Neodiprion lecontei: one gene and its partners. The protein of the gene in region 2 interacts with the protein of the main gene of each other region in a pairwise test. Links are inferred from orthologs where the notes say so. Each region holds a gene or a part of one and is shown on either strand. Other genes may lie near its edges.

Region 1 (7,729 bases), on a different chromosome or scaffold from region 2:
TGATTTATACGATTTTCTAAGTATTTTCACGGAAATTGCAACATTTCGTACGATTGTGTACAAAAAATTGTAAATATACTGTAAATTTATCATAAAAACTTGTAGATTTTCACGAAAATTTGTATTTTTTCGTTAAAAAATCTACATAATTAACAATTCTTTGAGAAAAACTACACATATTTATAATTTTTTTACTAAATAATACGAAATCGCCCAATTTCTGTAAAAATTCGTAGTAGCGGTAGAAATTTTCACCAGGGCGAGCTTTTATAATGCATTTTGCTGATTACACGAAGCAGGAGAGTAAGCGATCGATTTTTACTATAGGTTTACCAAAAAACATATACACGGTTGATTATAGATGAACTAAAGAGGGTTGCGGGGGAGGGGGAAGGGGAGAAGGGGAAACTATGGAATGTTTTTTGCCTGCTGTGATATCACAGGGGTGGTTTCTTCCTCAACTTTGTTGTTCAAGCGTATTAATAGAACGCTAAAATACCTGGATATACATAAAAACGTGTTTCACGGTCGAAAAGCCAAGCTTTTTACAATAAGTCCCAGTTTACACACCGTATTGTTGATGTGAAAATAATTTATTCCGCAATAAAACGTGTCTAAGAACAGTTTCTGCATTACGTCACGCTAGAAATTAAGTCGCGGTGGTATTTCTTTTATAGAGTTAATCCGATCGTTTGGATTGAGAATTTTTATCACGCGCTTTGATAATAATATTTCACATTAAGCTCAAGTTACGTTAAATCTCAGGGTCTTGGCTTTTGGAGAAAAATTTCTTTCCTACACTCTGATCTGAAACGACTTCTCGGAGCGACGGACGTTGCATTCCGCGACTCGAAGAATGCTATTCATATCCTGTACCGGAATCGTCGTCCGTCACGTAAAATTCCAACTTTTCATCGTTCCCACGTAAATTCGGAAAATTCTCCAAAGCATTTTCTTCCGTTAGACGTAATGTTATTGCGAGGATCGGCAGCGGCATCGGCCAGCAGCAATCCATAAGATGATACGAAGCCCAAAATATTTTCCTAGAGGCAGTCATATAAACAAAATTGTAGCGCATCGCAACGGCGCCCGTTGAAGCACCCTAATTTTAGAACCGTATAAACCACCACGTCTTGACCATGTTCTAATCGGAAACGTTATACGCATATGTATACACGAAGTTCAAGTCTTTAAACGCTCGAACCTTAGCTGCTTTAAATTTTCGCACGTGCAAAACTACCGAGCATGCAATGTAATCCTCAAATTCCCTCAACTAACAAATAATTTCCTAATCAATTACCAATTCCCTGCGGATCTGGAAATAGAAAATAAGGAATCAAAACGTAGCGAACATTTGCCAAGCATTGTAATACACGTAAATATTTGAACTGTATAAACCTTATAATATCAAATTCTTTATTTCGACGCAGGTATACATGATATACGCAGAAATAAGTTATTCTTGCGTCTGAATTATATACATACATTTCTGGTCTTCTAAATGTAACGCTTATTTATAGTAAACTTTGATTAGCATCGGCGGATTAATGTGGCTGCAGACTCGACGATAGAAAAAAAAAAAAAAAAAAGTTCGAAATAAAACACATTAGACGTGCAGGGATCCATTAAACGTTCAAGTTCGGAATAACAATTTGTTCGATCAGTGAATCTCGTGAAAAAGTTGCAAATTACAAAACTCACTCGAGCCTTTATATTTTAACTAACAAATTTTCCAAAAAAAGAATTACGAAATATCACACAAGGATGCAACAAATAATTAAAAAAATTTCTAAAACCTGATTGCAGTTGGTTACTTGATTACCAATATTTGATATCGCATTAGTATTGAACTGTAAATCAGCTAAGAATTTAACAAGATATTAAAATGTGATTATCAATTGAACCGTCAGCTATTGAACAGTCTCAATGTTATTATTTAAATCTGTTAATCCCTGTGGTTAGGCTTAGACGTAAATTACGTAATTGAGTTTCGTGATGAAGTATTTTTAGTTCTGAAAGCGAAAGTAAGAAAAAAACTAAATACTTTTCAAAATACTTTTACGTACCATATGAATACATAAATGTATATTCACAACAGTAACAACATTTTTCATTTATACATATGCATAAATTTTAGGTAATAACTTACTGTTGATCTATGGTTTTGCGTCAAGAAGCCTGGCAAGCTGATCCGGTTCTGTAACTGGTAGCGAACAAACGTGACGATGACATACGTAGACCGTTGCTCTATTGTTGAGAGACTTCATGTTGAGGATAACTTTGCTTTTGCAAAATAAAATATTCTCCGGATCTTGGTGATCAACTAAGAGTAGTACCCGTCCGGGAACAAATTTCTCACGAATAACATTTAGTAGCAGTGTCGTATCTGCAGCGTCCTTTTTACCAACCACGTAGATCTTGAAGAAGCAGAGAGTCGGGTATGAAACTTGTCATTTGCGTTCGTTCAGTTACCAAGGGCTTTGCCAACATCTTATGATTCGAACGTTATGTACTCACCTGCGTCATTGAATCGTGGTAATGTAGCAGGGCAGACACGAGTTCCGGTAGAGCAGCGGGAACACGCGTAAGAGATTCTCTGGATGCAATTAGTATTTTGGAAGATTTATCGTTGAACTCCGCATGATCGAGGTAGGCGTTCAATCGTAACAAATTTTTGCACGCTATAGAATTACTTGACGGTTCGGCTCCGTCGTGATCTGTAAGAATGTAATATTATACACTAGCATCTAGTCACCAATTACCATGTAATCTTGATCTAACCATCTTTAAGCCTTAGAATTGCTGTGCGATCTTCCTCGGTTGTAGCAAAATAACCGCCAGCTACAGGATCCCAGAACAAATTGTCCTGTATATCCTGCAATTTTTCAGCAAATTCAAGCCAGTGCGTGTCCAGCGTTGCTTCGTATAAATCGAGCAACCCTTGGACCATGAAAGAGTAATCACCGTGAAATCCATTTATCGGTACACTCCTAAATATTTATATTTCATCAGGTAATAGTCAGTGTTTTCTCTATCGCTAAAACAACTTTTGACAGACTGACTCACGTTTGAGTAATTGTACCTCCTCCCCCATTGTAACAGCTACGTAATAACAAGCCTTTCTCCGCGTCAAATAAGTAACGTTCAACGAAGGCAGCCGCCTTCACAGCAAACTCTATGTAATTCTTGTTGTTGAATGCAAAACCAGCTCTTGACAATCCGCTGATTATTAATCCTGTGTGTATATTTTTTTAAATATTTTTTTATAACGTAGGTATTTGGATACTCTTCAATATTTACCATTCCATGATGTAACTATCTTGTCGTCCAGATGAGGCCTGGGCCTCTTCAATCTAACTTGGTACAGTATTTCACGAGCCTTTTGCAAATATTTATTCACATCTTCGAAGCTTAAATCAAAATGCTCGGCAGTCTCGGCCAAACTGCCGTAGACTATCAGTACATTCTGTCCCTTCAGCTCTCCGTGAGGATCCTAGAAAAATGATTCACTCTTCGAGTCCTTGTACAATAATAGGAAGCTGATGTGATGGTAGCAAGTTCAAAAATTGATTTTACGAACTTGCAAATGACCAACATTCCCCTCAGGCTTAACATTGTAGTGAAAAGCAAATAGATCCGATAATTCCAAGTCTTTTTTTCCGGGAATGGGTTTGCCAAGGAGACTTTTTATATCTCCGTAAGTCCACACGTAAAATGCACCTTCTTTTTTTTCCCGAGAATCGTGAGAAGGTAACGAATCTGCATCCTCTGCATTATAGAATCCACCTGCCTGGAAGAAATGTATCATATGGTTGAAAAAAGGAAAGAAAATAGTACCGCTCTATTTTTATTCTGTTCAGTAGCTACTGACCTGGTGACGCAGATCTCGGGTAACATATGTGACAATGTCGTCGACAATATCAGCAAATATAGTATCTTTTGTTATAACAAAAGCATCTGCATAGGACCGTAGAAGCTGAGCTTGATCATATAACATTTTCTCAAAATGTGGTACATGCCATTTACCATCTACAGAGTATCGTGAGAACCCCTAAAGATTATTATTCTCAATATTAAAAAAAAAAATGCTATTTTATTAATACACAATAAATTGTAAGATAGGAATAGCTTCGGGTGGCTGTACCTGACCAATGTGATCATGAATCCCTCCATTAGCCATTTTGGTAAGAGTAGTTAAACACATATTCAAGCATTCCTTGCCAGATTCGCTTGACGGATCCCTGGAGTAGGCGTGAAATAGAAAGTTCAAATTAACTGGCTGGGGAAATTTTGGGGCGTCTGTAAATCCGCCAAATTCGTTATCATAGCTGCCTGCCAATTGCTGCACGCAATTTAATCCACAATCAACTGATGGCTCAGCTGCTTCCTGTTTATAGAAAATAAACTTGACTCAGCAAAAATTTCCAAGCTGCTCTACCGTAGAGCAAACATACTTTATGTAGACTTTCCACACCAACGGATCGCTTCAATACTTCAAGGATTCTGTTGCCAGAATTTAATACATCACTCCTGCTCTCAATCCACTGTAAACAACAAATATCAACACTTGAGATATAATAGGAATAAATTGGTGAAAAAATGGAATACTTGGCAGATAAATATCACGTTGAATATGTACTTTGTGTGCAACGGTGGTCAATACAGTTTTAAAACCAGGTTGACCATACTTGTCGACAGGGGGAAAATAGGTTCCTCCTGTAACAGGGGTCAATTCGGGGGTCAAAAATACGCTCATTGGCCATCCACCATGTCCAGAAATAGCCTGAAACAATTTAATGCAGGAAATGAGTTATTTCTCTTAGATATTTTCGTTAACATAACTTATAGAATGACATCTTAAATGAACATGTGTATATTTACTTGAATAAAAGTCATATATATTTTGTCAATGTCAGGTCTCTCCTCGCGATCAACTTTCACATTGACGAAAAACTGATTCATAACACGCGCGATTTCAGGATTTTCAAAGGATTCCCGCTCCATGACATGGCACCAATGACAGGTGGAATATCCAACTGACAGAAATATAAGCTTGTCTTCACGCCGAGCCTTTTCAATTGCCTCGTCACCCCAAGGAAACCAATGAACAGGATTTGTTGCATGTTGCAAAAGGTAAGGAGACTTCTCAAATGCCAATTTATTTTGGGTTTTACTTTCAGAAGGTTCACCTTTCACCGTCGTCGAGGTCATTCTTACACTGTAAGGAATGAATAACCGTTCACTATGAATATATCTGTAAATGAATGAAAAACAAATATCATTATCAGACTATTTAAAACCAATTGTTGGCTTTATCATGTTTACGAATTTTCTCTCCATGGATATACGAACCTTTTGCTATGATAGTTGTTGACTACCTGAAGCAGTTTAATGTCCTTGGCGGAGAATTTTTTGAATTGATGTTCAGAAGAAAAGCGACGAATTGATGTCCATATTGAACATCTTCGCGGAATCATAACATACATATGTGTTAAAATATAATATTATAAATAATAATTATTGAGTAATTTTCACTTGAATAATTATATAACGAGTTTCAAATTAACCTTATCGCAAAGTGAGAAAAAGATAATAACGTTCATAGGTATACGTGTTGCGTGTATGCGCAATTTTATTTACACATGATTATATACGGCACGTATACCTATACCAAAGCCTATACCAATTCGTTCGCATGTTAGTGCGTATAAATATTTATCACATACACTATTTTGCATTTGGTCTGACAGTTTTGATGATAGTTTTTGACGTTTGACCTACCTTTTCCCCGTGGCTATGTAACCAGCTGAGAACCGCAACGTGGTGTTAAATACTCCTCATACAAAGTAGCTTACATCCGGTCGAAGGATCGACGTTATCACTCAGGATTCCTAGGGATAATTTGATAATGGTGCAATTTTTTGTTTCCCAACTTTTCGAAAAGAAAGGCTTGGGCAAAGCTGTCGATCAGCTGGTTCTTCAATACGGATTAATCAGATAAGCTCAAGCCTTTCAGCTCCTTCATTTTGAAAATGTGGGAAATAAATGCATATCCGTTTTTAATTGGCTGCACTGGGTGCGCATGCAATTTCCCTAATTTTCAACTAATGGCAAAGGCGTAAATCTAGGGAAAACGCACTCAGTGCAGCCAATTGAAAACGCTTTGAGCACAGTAGAAAAGTGCACACTGCACATTAAAAATCGGAACACACTGCGTTCTCCATGGTTCATCGTATTTGTCATTGCCGCTAAAAAGCGTAAAGAGTCGTTGCGAAATTCGGATTTCGGGCTTAGGAAGTGCCAAGGCATTCGAACCTACGGTGTGTGTACCAAAGTGCTAACATTACAACCAAATAACCACGTGCCGCGGCGATTAAGCTCACGGAGAGCCTTGCTAAGCTTGGACTAATTTTGCAGATTTAATGTCAGGCATCGCGATCGCTAGACTCGCTGAGGAGAGAAAAGCATGGAGGAAAGACCATCCATTTGTAAGTATTATCTTGTCACTTCTATTACTGCATTGTACTTTTGGATGAAACCGGGTCATTTGGATGGTCCCAAGTTAACCATTTTACCTAGTCAACCATCCCTCCCATTATTACCTGGCCGTAAGGGCATAATAAACCCTCCGAATACATAAATCATGTCATGAAAGATTGTCGTCCACATACGCACGCACACACATGTAAAAAGTGCACAGGTCAATCTCATCGTTTTTACCTCAAGTGGTCTAAATTTTTTTTGTTTTTGAATGGGAAAATTTTTCTTCTGAAACCAGATAACCAAACCTAACCTATTTCTTATTCCTTTTGGGTATCTTCATTTATTGAATTACTTGTGCTGAGATCCGAGGCTGTATGTGACATGCTCAAAATTTGTTACAAACACCCAGAGGCGGCCAGATTTTGAATTTCATTTGTTTACTTACAGGGCTTTGTAGCTCGGCCTACAAAAAATCCAGATGGAACACTTAATTTGATGAGCTGGGAATGTGCTATACCTGGAAAGAAAACTGTAAGATATTGCAAGTCGTTGCTCCTAAAAATCTGCCTTGAATTTATTAAAATCTGATGGTAATTTTCTTTGTAGACTCCATGGGAAGGCGGGCTGTACAAGTTGCGAATGATATTCAAAGACGACTATCCTTCCAGTCCGCCAAAATGCAAATTCGAGCCCCCACTTTTTCATCCTAATGTTTACCCTTCTGGTACTGTATGCCTATCTCTCCTAGATGAAGAAAAGGACTGGCGACCAGCCATAACAATCAAGCAAATCTTGCTAGGAATCCAAGATTTACTTAATGAACCAAACGTTAAAGATCCCGCCCAAGCAGAAGCTTACACTATTTACTGGTGAGTACTCAACGAGGCATAGATTGAGTTTTTTTTTTTCCAAGTCTACAGCGACAACATCACTTATTGAAACTCAATTATTGCAGCCAGAATCGTTTGGAATATGAAAAACGAGTGAAGGCGCAGGCAAGAGCAATGGCACCGCAAGAATAAAAAACACGAACGTTCCACCTACCACAAAGCAAAACTTTATTTTCTAAGCCTGCAACAAATATAATATAACATAATGCAAACTATATACAAATAATTTTTCCCCCACTTACAATTTACATGACCATAAATGTTGCATACATATACATAGGTAAGTAAAAACAGAATCATCATTTTATTTTCTTCTATGTATAATTATCAATGAAATTGTTTATTATCAACGAGTG
Region 2 (4,881 bases):
AATAAAGAAATTTAGAAATACTAACCTGGCAGTTCCTGTGAGGTTTTTATTTTCTCGATAAGGTATGTGCATGTGCGTCCGACCATCTCGATACTTTTTGGCCAGACCGAAATCTATGATATATACAAGATTTCCTTTCTTTCCCAAGCCCATGAGAAAATTGTCAGGTTTGATATCCCGGTGGATGAAATTTCGACTATGAATGTAATCCGTTCTGCTTATCTATATTCAAAAAGAAAACAGTGTGGATCACTGAAAGGATACAACCATTGGATTGCGCAATTAAAATATACTATATATTGCCCTAAAAAGGTAAGAAAATCTTTGGTCTCTGCAACACATTCCGGAGATCATCAAAGGATCGAATCATCATATAAGATAAAAAGGTCAAGTGAATAATTAATTGTCTGCAAGGGATTTACAATGACAACTGAGACTCACAGTAAGAAAAGATAATTATATTTGTACATATTTATACTAACTCAAAACGCTTGTTGAGTAATAATATTAAATGTATATGCAGACATGGTCTATAACACATGCTTTTAGGGTCGCTGCCTTAGTTAATTATTTGAAGTACTGTTCGGTATCATAAAACTCAGTGAACCATGATTTCCTGCTTAGTATTCTGACCCAGCCTTAAAAATCATCTTATGTAAATCATATTGCATGCAAAATGCTTTCAATCATTTACCATTGCACTTGATCAATGAAGATATTAGATCAAACTTTATTTCTGACACAATGGACCTTTCGCAAATTTGATATTCTGAAATATTCCCCTAGGCTCATCATGGAATAAGTGAAAATGTAGTTTCAGAGTTTATGTTTAAAGTTCAACAGCCTTTGCATTAAAAAAGATATGAATGCATGATTTATAAACACAGTTAATTTCTACACATCATTTACACTTGGACTTTGAACAGTCGTTGCAAAGCCCGCTGAATTGCCGATGAAAAAGCAATGGATATCCAGAGATAGTAACATTGTACAAGCGACACAGTTGGCTGTTTGATGAAAGACTCAACGAACTCCTCAGCCAACTTAGGACTCATTGTACAACATGCTTGAAAAAGTCAAACTTTTGATACAGGATGACAAAAGCATAGAGTTTACAATTATTTGTAACATTAGCCAGTCTCACAATGACCCAGTTAGAGCGCCAGGTAAGTAGAGCGTATCACTAAGTGAAGTCTAATGTCAGTGAAAGCATGTTTCAATTCAGGTGTTCCGAGATAGCGAGTTGCATGGTAGACATGATATCGTATTAAAGGCGAACATTGAGAAAATTGGTTTAGAATAGTAACGAAAATTGCTTCTGAATTTGTTTTTGCTATTTCAACAGGACGAGGAACGTTTCTCGTTCGATAGACTAAGCTAAATTTTCAATGTCGTTAGAAAAGGATAATTATTTTTTTAGACTCACCAATTGATCAGCGAGTAGTAGAACAGTTTTTAACGAAAATTTTCGAGAGCAAAAATTGAAAAGATCTTCAAGTGATGGGCCGAGTAGTTCCATCACCATAACATTATAGTCACCTTCCGAACCGCACCATTTTATTGTGGGGATTCCAACTGAAAGTAAAAAATACTTGTACATCGCGCAGTACTGAAAAAATTTTGACAATACGAAATGACAGAAGAAACCAGTGTGGAAATAAAAATGCAACACGGTTGAAAAGTCAGATCAAGTTAAAACTCTAGTTTAATAAAACAATAACTGTAAAAATAATCAGAGTAAAAAACAATTCATAAACCTTAGGTAACCAATTTCCAGTGAAAGTTATGAGGTAATTAGGTAAGGTATTTCACATTCGAGTTTGGTGTTAGTTAAGCTAAATATAAATTCTAGAATTGTGGATGGTAATTTGTTTCATTTTTCTTCTCGCTACCCTCTTTCGTTGAAGATTGATGATGAAAGCGATACAATGACGATTTGAAATGAATTCTAAACCAAATCGAATAGAAGATACAAATAATTGTTTTGAATGAAAAATGGATTCCTTTGGTTAGATTCTATAAATAAAATGTGCATGAAAATGCAGGAAATATATTTGTGGCATTGTATCGAGGAGAAGGGGCAGCGCCTGGAGGACCAGCTGTGGTGAAGCAAACAAACAAAGCACTTTGACAGTCTAAGGATTTTTTTGCTCAAGAAAAAATGCTTGTTAACCTGTCGAAGAATGAACAATTGGGTTGATAAATCCATACTCACCACCACCTTGCATCATTTTGTAAAATTTCGACTCTATATGGAGCTGGGGATGCCTTGTTTTTATGCATTCTAGCTTTATGGCGACTTCCTCACCCGTGGAAATGTTCGTCCCTGTTAAAAGAAGGACGATTTGGTGAAAATCAAAGCGAATAAACGTATGCCACTTTGGCGAATAATTAAACTCTGTGTAAAAATGAGCGGTAAAAGATGCAAAGTTCAACTCTCAAGTTGAAGATACCCTAAGCTTAACATTGATGCCCAGTTTGGCTGGGAATGAATATATTTTGTTTGTGCATAGAATATCGGTACGACGATCCGTGGTACAATTGTGAAATTGTTTTGTTCATAGTTACCTAGATAAATATCACCGAAGGAACCGCTCCCGATTTTCCGCCCGAGCCTATACTTGTTCCCTACGCGTAGCTCCATTTTTGTTTTGACCGAGGTAACGACTACTCAAAACTCACGAAACACAACGCGGTTTAAAGGAATTTTCGTTACATTGTCGGAGCCTCCATGTTTGATATTTGTGGACGGGGCATCTTTTCGCTGTTAGCCTGCCTGGACGGGGGACTACTTCTTCGACACAAAGAGGAATTCTCGCCCCGCCTTGCGGGCATCAGTCGTCACTATTGCACATCAATTGAGCACGCAAATAAAGTATCGGGATCTCAGGAATACGATACGCGCGTCAGAAAATCGTAATTCTTGACGTGAAGCGCGGATTAAATGGATTTTTCATGGCCTGTCTCAACGCATCCGCTAACGGTGACACACGGACCTGCCACAGACACGACTCAACCGTCAACACCAAGATACGCAACAGCTACATGGATCGGGCTCTCGCTCTCTTCCACTTCCCTCGCCTAGTACGGTGAATTGCCGCATAGGTTCGCATCTAGTATGCGTGATGCGGTGCAGCTGCATATGCCGCAAAATGCAAATCAAAATATGCGCACTTCGTTACATTAATTTCCCCATACATTTTCACTATCTTACTTTCTTTTTTTGTTAACTTTACCAGAACGCTGACAAAATTTCCACTCACCCTAACACATAGTTGTCGTACAACATTAATGTAAATTAGCGAGCAAAACATAACCATCCAATGCGATTCAATTTTGCATCACCACAATTACTTCGATTGAAATCCTTAAATTCGCTACTCATAAAGGTTTTTTTTTTAAATTCGCCCCAACTCTCTCTTTTAGGATCCATGAAGATGTATATTAAATTGATATACACTGGAATTTTTTTGAAAAGGCATTTATTGTTATAGAAATATAAGTGATGTTGTAGACAGTAAGAGATACCTAAGCTGTAGAAAAATTCAATGAAAAATTTGTTAATTTTCACTGCAGTGAACTAATTTGGGAGTAGTTATAATGGAAAATTGTACAGTTATTGTTTTTTGATCCTCATACTGAAACGTGAATGAGAACTTAGCCTTTAGGCAGTGTCATGTTAATTTCTTTGCTCACGCAAGCTTTGAATCAGCCTGAGTAGAACTGACTGAATTTTGTGACATCGAATGATGAATTGTAGTCAAAAATGCGATTTGAAAGTTAATTTCCGAAACTCGGGTTTAGTTAGAAAATTTAAATGTATATTCCTAACTACGATTAACAATCACTGGCTTACATAATTAAGCGAAACTGCTATATGCTATATATTTTAAATTGCGAATAAACTGTCAAGTAACACTTTTTGAATAGTTATGAAATTCCTATTAAAATTAGTAATACAGAATTATTCCTTCTCTTTTACCACTAATTGCAGTATGTACGATAACAGTAATTATGAATCAGTTGCTTAATTATTAAGTATACAGTTAAAGATAATTAGATACATAATTAAAATCTATCTACAAAGGCCCCACGTAAATTCTTCGTATTATCAAAAAATGGTACTTATAAACAGAATTACTTTCCATCAAACTTAAAAACAGAGGGGTAGAAAGTTTGTCAATCAGACGCACAAATAATTGGCAACATACTTATCTGTATTCTTATAAAGCAGGGGGGATATTCATTTTTTTTTTTATATAAATAATTACTTTTAATTTTGCCTCTTGTAGAATGAGCGCTATACTTTTATCTCAAATGTACGATCTTGGTCTACTAGAGAATTATGTTATTCAAAGTATAAGCGATACCGGACACGGCCTATTGAAATCGATAATTGATGAAATTTCATTTGCCCAGAATATCTTGTGTGCCGTAAAAATTGAGAATAACAGTTGAATGAATAAAAAACGGAGAATTAGTTTTAGGTATGATTCAGTGAGCATCCATTAGATATAACATTCGAAATAAAAAGTTAAAAGTTAATATGCTGTGTCCTCCACCAAATATAGAATATAATTATACCAAAACATTAGTATAACGATAAATTGGATTCTTATTAAAAATTATAATAACAACAATTTCTTGCTCACTTAACTGGATAACAATAAAGTCAAAACTCTAGTTTTCTACATAGTATGAACACAAATTCAGAAGATGGTTAATTTCAACATTGACAAACTGAAAGTAGTATTGGCATGTAAACATATAATCTTTACTATATATAATGTGTCTATATACCTAGGGCTACAAAAAAAAGAAAAAGTATTCATATGCCAATCAAAAAAATTTACTTTCATGAACTAGGGTGAAAACTTAAAG
Region 3 (7,573 bases), on a different chromosome or scaffold from region 2:
ACTACAAAAAAGCAAAACTAAAATCGGAAAAAAAAAAAAATATTAACATGTAGTTGCAAAATAGTAGACGACAAAGCAATACCAGGGCTTTTTAACCAAAGAGGCTGACAAATATTGCCAAAGTATTACATTTTGTTGCTATTTCGATTTTTGCAAAAATTATTGTAAAAGAATTTACTGAAGTAAAGGGTAATAATAAAAATAATAATAATAATAGTAATAATAATTAATGAATGTACGAGAAATAATGAGTGAACTATTATCTTATAAACATCTTGACCTGAGTAATTGAGTGTATAATATTTCTAGCCATTATTTACCTTCTAATGATCGATATTTAACTACTAAATACTAATTCAAGATCCAAATGACTTAAGATTTAATTATATACTTCTAGGCAATTCGTAAGCTAATTATGTATTTTTATATTACCGTAGCTTGGATAGATTTACGAATTAAGAAATATATTAATTAAATTTTAAACTTCAATTAGGCTAGGTTATGGAATTAAGAGTCACAAAATGTATCAAAAATTTCGGAAATATATTTGGTTCTCCTCTTATGCTACAAACGCAATACTTTCGAAACAAGCACGGCTTATGACAGAAGCTGTTCAATGTACATTGCAAAGTAACTCAACGTTAAATTAATCCATGTGATCACGCTATTCTATTGCAGATTTTAGAGCCAACTCCTCATCACATTAACATTGTGGCCAGCCAAATAATTTTAACTGTACATTTTGCTAATAAATTACCTTCGAAATATCAGTCAGCTTGATTAACTCATTTCGTTGAGAAGTACTTCATATTGTCATCTAGTATTGGTTATAGATATTAGTTACAGAATGTATAAAAGTTGGAAATCGCTCTATGACGATGAAAAATAAGGAATTTATTAAAATATCCAGTGACTAATTCTTCGACTGCTCACATGGATCATTTCTCCAACATCAAGGCACAATGATAGGGTTCATCTCAGAACACACCATGTTTTGCAGTGTTCCAGTTTTGTACAGTAACAAAAATGAGCGGTATAACAACACGAATACCAGATCCTGTCCTTAGTTGTCTTCGTCTTCGATTTTAGGTGCCAAATAATATCTGATGTGTCCAAGTTCCCCAATTTTGTATTCAACAACCAGCGGGACATCGGCAGACATTGAAAGTTGAACTTGAGCAGAAAGGGGTGTTGCTTTTGTAAAACTGTTCAAATACCGGCAAGCAAACGTTAATGATACTGGCTCCTGCATTTCTATGACCACAGCTTCCTCTTCAGCGTCCACATTTGCAGTTTGAGCTAATTTGATGTTGGCTGAAATAATAAAACAAATACCACTAGAAGTAGAGAAACCACTGCCTCGACTATTACATTCATACTATCATAGCTACATGCTTGTGATAACCTGACTTATGTGCATTGACATTGAGATTTTGATTCATTAACAATACAACATAAGAGCAAAATCGTTTGGCTGAATTCAACTGATAATAAACTGACGATTTCAAAATTGTAGAGATGTCACTATATTAACACTTTGCCGTCCGCACGATTCGTAAATATTTATTCGCCTGGCGCCGGCAGCGCTTATTCGGATCACTTGACTTGTCACCGGCCGTTCTTGACATTATCGGGAGATTATAAATTGTTAAGTTTTACTAATTTCGTCGTTAGTTCTCATTTTCAATGTCTTCCCAATCGGCCAAGTCATCCGGAACGTCAGACAAATCGTCCGCGCATTCGTCGTAAATATTTGCATCGTCTCTTTCGTCTGCCATTATGAAAGGGCACAAGAACTTATACAAATAAAAAGTTTGATCACTTGTGTAACTTATTGTTACCGAAACAAAATACCAGCAGAAAGCTAAATACACTAAAGTGTCGTCACCGACCCAGAGCGGTACTGTGCTCACAACACCACTGTGGTGTCGCCGGTCGTTGGCCACCAGTTTGCGCACGTCACCACTGTGCTGTCGCCGGATGGCAAAGTGTTAAATATGTCGGCGATTAATCTCCCTGGTAGTGAAAGGAAGCAACAAAGGTCAATAGATAGTTGAAAAATAAAGCATGGTAAATCTTGTGCTTTGTCAAATATGATCGACAAAATTTAAGTTCTTAGATGTTGCACAAATTTTTTTTATCATTTAATTGAGGTATTATTATCATGAATGTATTTATCTAAATTTACAGTGTAATGATAGTTCATTTGTATACCTGAACCAATATCACCAGCTGAACTAAACTTCACACCTTCCTTGGTACAAGAAATAGCCATGGATTCACCAAACTGGCTCAGATCTCTGCATATACGTGCAAATTCTTGGGAAGGCATTTTAACGATACAAGAATAGTCAGTTTCCTGAAGAAAAAAAATATGATTGTTGATACACTCTGCACCTATCTTCACCTACACATTATCACTAATAACAATACTCAAGGATCAAGGATTATAGTCTTTCCCTAATTCTGTGCAAAATAGGTTTTCTTATAATTGAGATAGCTCACATTGTATTTATTAATGTACCGAGCATTTTACAGTTTCAGAATTCAACTGTTTATGTTACACATGAATTTCAAAAAACTCAAAACGGTTTGGACACAAACATTTGTTTCGTTGCTTGAATCAAATATGTCAAAAATGGACCAAATAGTTTTGCATTGAGAAGTTTGGGTCTTCTTTCGCTGAATTGATAAAACATGAATGAATCTTTCCAACAAAAATATTGCAGAATTCGTATTCCTAATCAGTTATTACTACTTCAAGAACAGGAACTTACTGGAATACCAAGATGTTCCTGATCTAGATTCATAAGTTTCATTTCATAATCTGAAACTTTTTCCTGATTTTTGGATTCAAACATAAATGCAACCACATCAGCATTATCCTGAGCTTTCATCGTAACAGTATCTTCTGCTCCAGCACATTTCATAATTTTTGTCATGCTGAAAATTATAATATTTTGGGTTCAAATCATTGAATTAGTACGACTCGATATGTAACAGGGACGACATGTTGTAAAACAGTGATTCATAATGTTTAGTAACAAAACTGATATTCACGTTGATCAGCTATCAAGTATTAATAAGATGACGATTCAAGACAAAGGGCAAATAAGGTGTGAACGAAATTTGCATTCACTCATGAGTTATCATCATTACTGTTACCCAAAAAATACAAGCAAGTGACGCACAAACGATATTATATTGCCAGTGTTGTCATTTTTCTTGTTAATATACGATGTAATTGCTAAGAATTGCAGATTACTCTTTTCAAGGCTGAGAACAAAGCAGCCGCGTTTAAAATTTTAGTATCGGCACTGTGTGTATAACCTCTCAAAAGAACGGGCGACCAGTTTGATGAAGCAACTTACTTGCCCAGATTCATGCCCATCGATAAATTTCTGTCGCATCTATATTTGTCGAAGCCATCGCTTCGCAGATTCAAAGACACCAAAGAAACGTGAGCATTGTCCATAGCCTGCAACTGAATTCCCGAATCGGAACAGTCGAAGGTGGCTTCGGTTAGGAGGTCCTTTATCGCCTCCAAAACCTTCTTCAATATCGCACTCTGAACCAAACGTGCCTCGAACATTTTTAGCTCCTCTTCGATCAACTTTGAAACTATTAAAAACGAATGTACTTGGTGAAAAGACCCGCAACACAGTCTACAGTAAAGTTACAACCCACAACAAGCCGGCAAGACAGACATTAAACACCGGGACTGGGGAGCAAGATTTTACCCGCGTTTTGTTGGCGCCGAAATCTCTCGAGAGGATGTAGAGGCCCTTACCAGTCTTCTTTATCTACAAGCGCGCCATTATACGAATTCAGTTGAACAAATCCAAAAGCTGAAAGCGTTTGCGGCTCTGTACGCTGACCCCCCCAACACAAGATTGTTCAGAAATTTATTATCGAGTGGCTAAGATTATAATTACTCATACCTGTCCACTTTATTATACATTTATGGCAGTGTCCGTGTTGATTGTTAGGAACTTCGAGTTTGAGAATATGTGTTCCCGACAAAGTCAATACTGTTTTATTCGGAATTTCAGCACTTTTTCGGTAACCCCTAATAATAATATTACCCAGAGGATACAATTGTGTAATGATACTATATATCGGATATCAGAAGCTAAATACTGATATTACCTAAAGATGGATTTTCTGGATTCTTTATAATCAAATTCTCATCAATTATCTACGATATCTTTGTTAAAAAAATACAGATTAAAGGTTGTAAGACCTTCCGAAAGTTTTAAGTATTCTGCTTCCAACAATCCACTAGTCTTTTCTGAGACAAGATTCTGTTCTACCGAAGAATTTCTACAGATTTCCGCAAACAGAATTTATAAATTTTGCAGACTTAGGTAGAAGAATTTTACAAATTGTATAAGAGACATTGTTAGACCGTTAATGATTTACATTATACATGTTAAAATTACAAGGAACTTGTCAGTAATTCATGTAATTGCTTCATAATTATCCAAGAAATATGCATCGTTGATGAGTTATTGGAACAGCATTGGTTTCCGGTGGTGGGCTGATTGTCCGTTTTGGAGAAATATACATAGGTCCATTAAATTCCAAGCGATACTCTTCCTGCGAAGATCGCTATTCAACAATGCGTGTACTGGTCGTTGGAATTGGTGACGAGGCAGCCAACGTATGCGTAAAACGTTTAGTTATTGACGCATCATTTTTTTTTTTTTTTGCGTTTTACGAATGCATCTTCTGGATGGAAGTCCGGCCTTCGCAACTTTCACGGCGTATTTGCAATTTATAAGATGAATATTTATAGCATACGCGTATTACGTATTATCTTACTTAGTACGACCTTTTGTACACACTATTTTATTCACAATTATGTTGTAAGTAACAATAATCACCCGTTGAAAATTTTTCCCACTCAAATAGTCATATTTTTTAATTCAACTGATCTGTGATTTGCGTTCTTAACGGATCACTTCATTCTTGTCGAAGGTCATAAATTTATATCTATAATTTGACAAAGCATTTCTTTTGTGACTTTTGATTGGTTCTAAAATCAATTGGTAATATTTTAAAATGCAGGTTATCATATTAGTTGCCTTTCTTTTTATGTATGTAAGTGTAATGATTTTTTGAACAAAGTATTTAACAGTTGATTCAGTTAAGTTATATAAAAATCAAGCGGGTATACAAATTTGTCATCAAAATTTTTAAATAATTTTCAAGAATATAGATTCAAAAGAGAAGACGGGAGTAAATTTCTTACTGTGCTAGACGGATCACCCGTATCTCGAACGTACAAAATTTGAACATCGTTCTTGTTGTCATTTTTAGTGACCGGTTTTGAATGAGCTTCAATATTTTGTTCTTTATCGTTTGTTATGGGAGACGTGCTCATTTGGTATGCAATTATAGTGTTTTATGTCAACAACCTGTGTCGACTGCGAAAGGTCAAGCCGGGGAGAAAGATGTCGGAATTGCCAAAGGTATGTGCACTTTGTTGACTTTAATTAAGAAACGAAATTTATCAAAAAGAAAAATATATTTACGTGGAATTCACTCTCACTAAACTAGCGAAATCCGAAGGTATTACAATTCCACATGCGTTACACATAACCGAAGCACGAATCTTATTGACAATAAGCTAAATTTATACAAGAATAAAATTGTCATTTGAAAAACTACAATATGTTAGTATTTGACAAATGAAAATAAGTTCGCTTATGCTCGTTTCCACACCACCGCAAGCGGTAGAGCACCCGGCGCGTTTTTTTTTTACGTGGTATCCCCAGTAGGCCTACTCCACGGAGAATACTTGCAAGATCGATCTTACATTCTTCGAAAAATTGCAAATATCTTTTTTTCACATGTTAACTACGGTAAATTGTTTTTCCCAATCAATTTGTATTCGCGGATATTCGGAGTTTGTTCGAAATTTTTCAGTTAATATGACCAGCTGACTATTTATTATCGATCGAAGATGACTGTTTTAATTGTAGATGAAAGTTGGCTGTTTTAATTATAGATGAAGGGTGATAGTTTTTATCTTGTAAGCGAACGGTGATTGTATTTGGATGTTCGGGCACGGTTTTTTTTCTTATGATGTATAAGATAATCACTAAAATGGAGAACTTGGTGAATACGCAAAACAATTCACAACTAAACCAAGATCGAAAATACGAATCGCCGTAAGACGCTGGCATTTACCTATCGGAAGACTAAGCAGAAATCTTTGAAGAAATGGAAACAAATCGGAGTAGGATAAACACAACCACCAAAATACGACAGTGCTATATAATTATACAGTGAAATACAAACCGAACATGACCTATGGGCGACTCGAGAAAAAAAACTATGACACTAAAACGAGCGCAATAAAAGACTGTAAAACCATTAAAAAATAAACTATATACATCGCTAAATCTATGTATCGGTGAAAAGATGACTGACCTTGAACCAGACCTAAACAGTCAATTAACCTCACTTACGTGGAACAGATGAAAATAAAATTAGTGACATATTTCGATATAAACAGAAATATACTTAGCTTAGATAAGTGAAAAATATAATTAACGAATAAGAGACAAATTGATTAGTTAAAACAGTCAAAATATTTGATTAGCTGAAACAGACAAAAGGTTTGATTAACTGAAACGGACAAAAAGCTTAATTAGCCGAAAGAGACAGAAAGTATGATTATCTGAAACAGACAAAAGGTTTCATTAGCTGAAACAGGCAAGAGGTTTGTTTAGCTGAAACAGATAAAACGTTTGATTAGCTGAAAGAGACAGAAAGTTTAATTAGCTGAAACATACAAAAGGTTCGATTAGCTGAAACAAGCAAAAGGTTTGATTAACTGAAACGGACAAAAAGCTTAATTAGCCGAAAGAGACAGAAAGTATAATTATCTGAAACAGACAAAAGGTTTGATTAGCTGAAACAGGCAAGAGGTTTGATTAGCTGAAACAGATAAAACGTTTGATTAGCTGAAAGAGACAGAAAGTTTAATTAGCTGAAACATACAAAAGATTCGATTAGCTGAAACAAGCAAAAGGTTTAATTAACTTGTGAATTAGACAAAAAGTTCGATTGGCTGAAAGAGACAAAGTCTGATTACCTGAAATAGACAAAACGTTTGATTAGCTGAAATAGACAAAAAGTTTGGTTAGCTGAAACAAACAAAAAATTTGATTGGCTAAAACGGATAAAAAGCTTGATCGGCTGAAAGAGACAGAAAATTTGATTAGCTGAATGATTATCTGAAACAGACAGAAGGTTTGATTATTTGAAACAGATAAAAGGTTTGATTATCTGAAACAGACAAAAGATTCAATTACCTGAAACAGACAAAAAGTTTGATTAGCTGAAGAGGACAGAAAGTCTGATTACCTGAAACAAACAAAGATTTCGTTAGCTGAAACAGACGAAGGTGTGGTTAGCACAATCACATAAGTTCATCCACTGACCAAAAATGGGTCGAGTCCAACATAATATTCGCTTTAATATTCATTCTATTGATGTATCAAAAACATTCTAAACTTTTTGAATCGACATTACTTTCTGCGCAAAGTTTTGTTGCCCTGAA

What was found.
Region 1: the proteins of casein kinase I (region 2) and spermatogenesis-associated protein 20 interact in a two-hybrid assay, tested with the Caenorhabditis elegans proteins (2 studies listed by BioGRID). The link is inferred for Neodiprion lecontei from reciprocal best matches to the Caenorhabditis elegans genes kin-20 and B0495.5.
Region 3: the proteins of casein kinase I (region 2) and proliferating cell nuclear antigen interact in a two-hybrid assay, tested with the Caenorhabditis elegans proteins (3 studies listed by BioGRID). The link is inferred for Neodiprion lecontei from reciprocal best matches to the Caenorhabditis elegans genes kin-20 and pcn-1.

Annotation. Positions count from the first base shown.
Region 1 is NC_060263.1:2,183,748-2,191,476, reverse strand, and holds spermatogenesis-associated protein 20, read right to left. Parts: upstream 5,771-7,729; 5' UTR 5,487-5,770; coding exon 5,353-5,486; intron 5,255-5,352; coding exon 4,882-5,254; intron 4,784-4,881; coding exon 4,640-4,783; intron 4,545-4,639; coding exon 4,455-4,544; intron 4,388-4,454; coding exon 4,145-4,387; intron 4,052-4,144; coding exon 3,872-4,051; intron 3,791-3,871; coding exon 3,581-3,790; intron 3,494-3,580; coding exon 3,301-3,493; intron 3,236-3,300; coding exon 3,067-3,235; intron 2,991-3,066; coding exon 2,782-2,990; intron 2,718-2,781; coding exon 2,518-2,717; intron 2,418-2,517; coding exon 2,157-2,417; 3' UTR 2,150-2,156; exon of another isoform or gene 1,396-2,149; intron 1,316-1,395; 3' UTR 558-1,315; downstream 1-557. Other genes in the region: SUMO-conjugating enzyme UBC9-B, read left to right, coding at 6,423-6,488, 6,931-7,014, 7,090-7,352, 7,439-7,505.
Region 2 is NC_060261.1:42,945,021-42,949,901, forward strand, and holds the start of casein kinase I, read right to left. Parts: upstream 3,041-4,881; 5' UTR 2,645-3,040; coding exon 2,569-2,644; intron 2,327-2,568; coding exon 2,216-2,326; intron 1,576-2,215; coding exon 1,427-1,575; intron 223-1,426; coding exon 26-222; intron 1-25. UniProt on the Caenorhabditis elegans protein: Essential serine/threonine-protein kinase that regulates diverse cellular growth and survival processes including Wnt signaling, DNA repair and circadian rhythms. Casein kinases are operationally defined by their preferential utilization of acidic proteins.
Region 3 is NC_060260.1:30,416,487-30,424,059, reverse strand, and holds proliferating cell nuclear antigen, read right to left. Parts: upstream 5,737-7,573; 5' UTR 3,593-5,736; coding exon 3,372-3,592; intron 2,944-3,371; coding exon 2,778-2,943; intron 2,360-2,777; coding exon 2,215-2,359; intron 1,315-2,214; coding exon 1,064-1,314; 3' UTR 523-1,063; downstream 1-522. UniProt on the Caenorhabditis elegans protein: This protein is an auxiliary protein of DNA polymerase delta and is involved in the control of eukaryotic DNA replication by increasing the polymerase's processibility during elongation of the leading strand.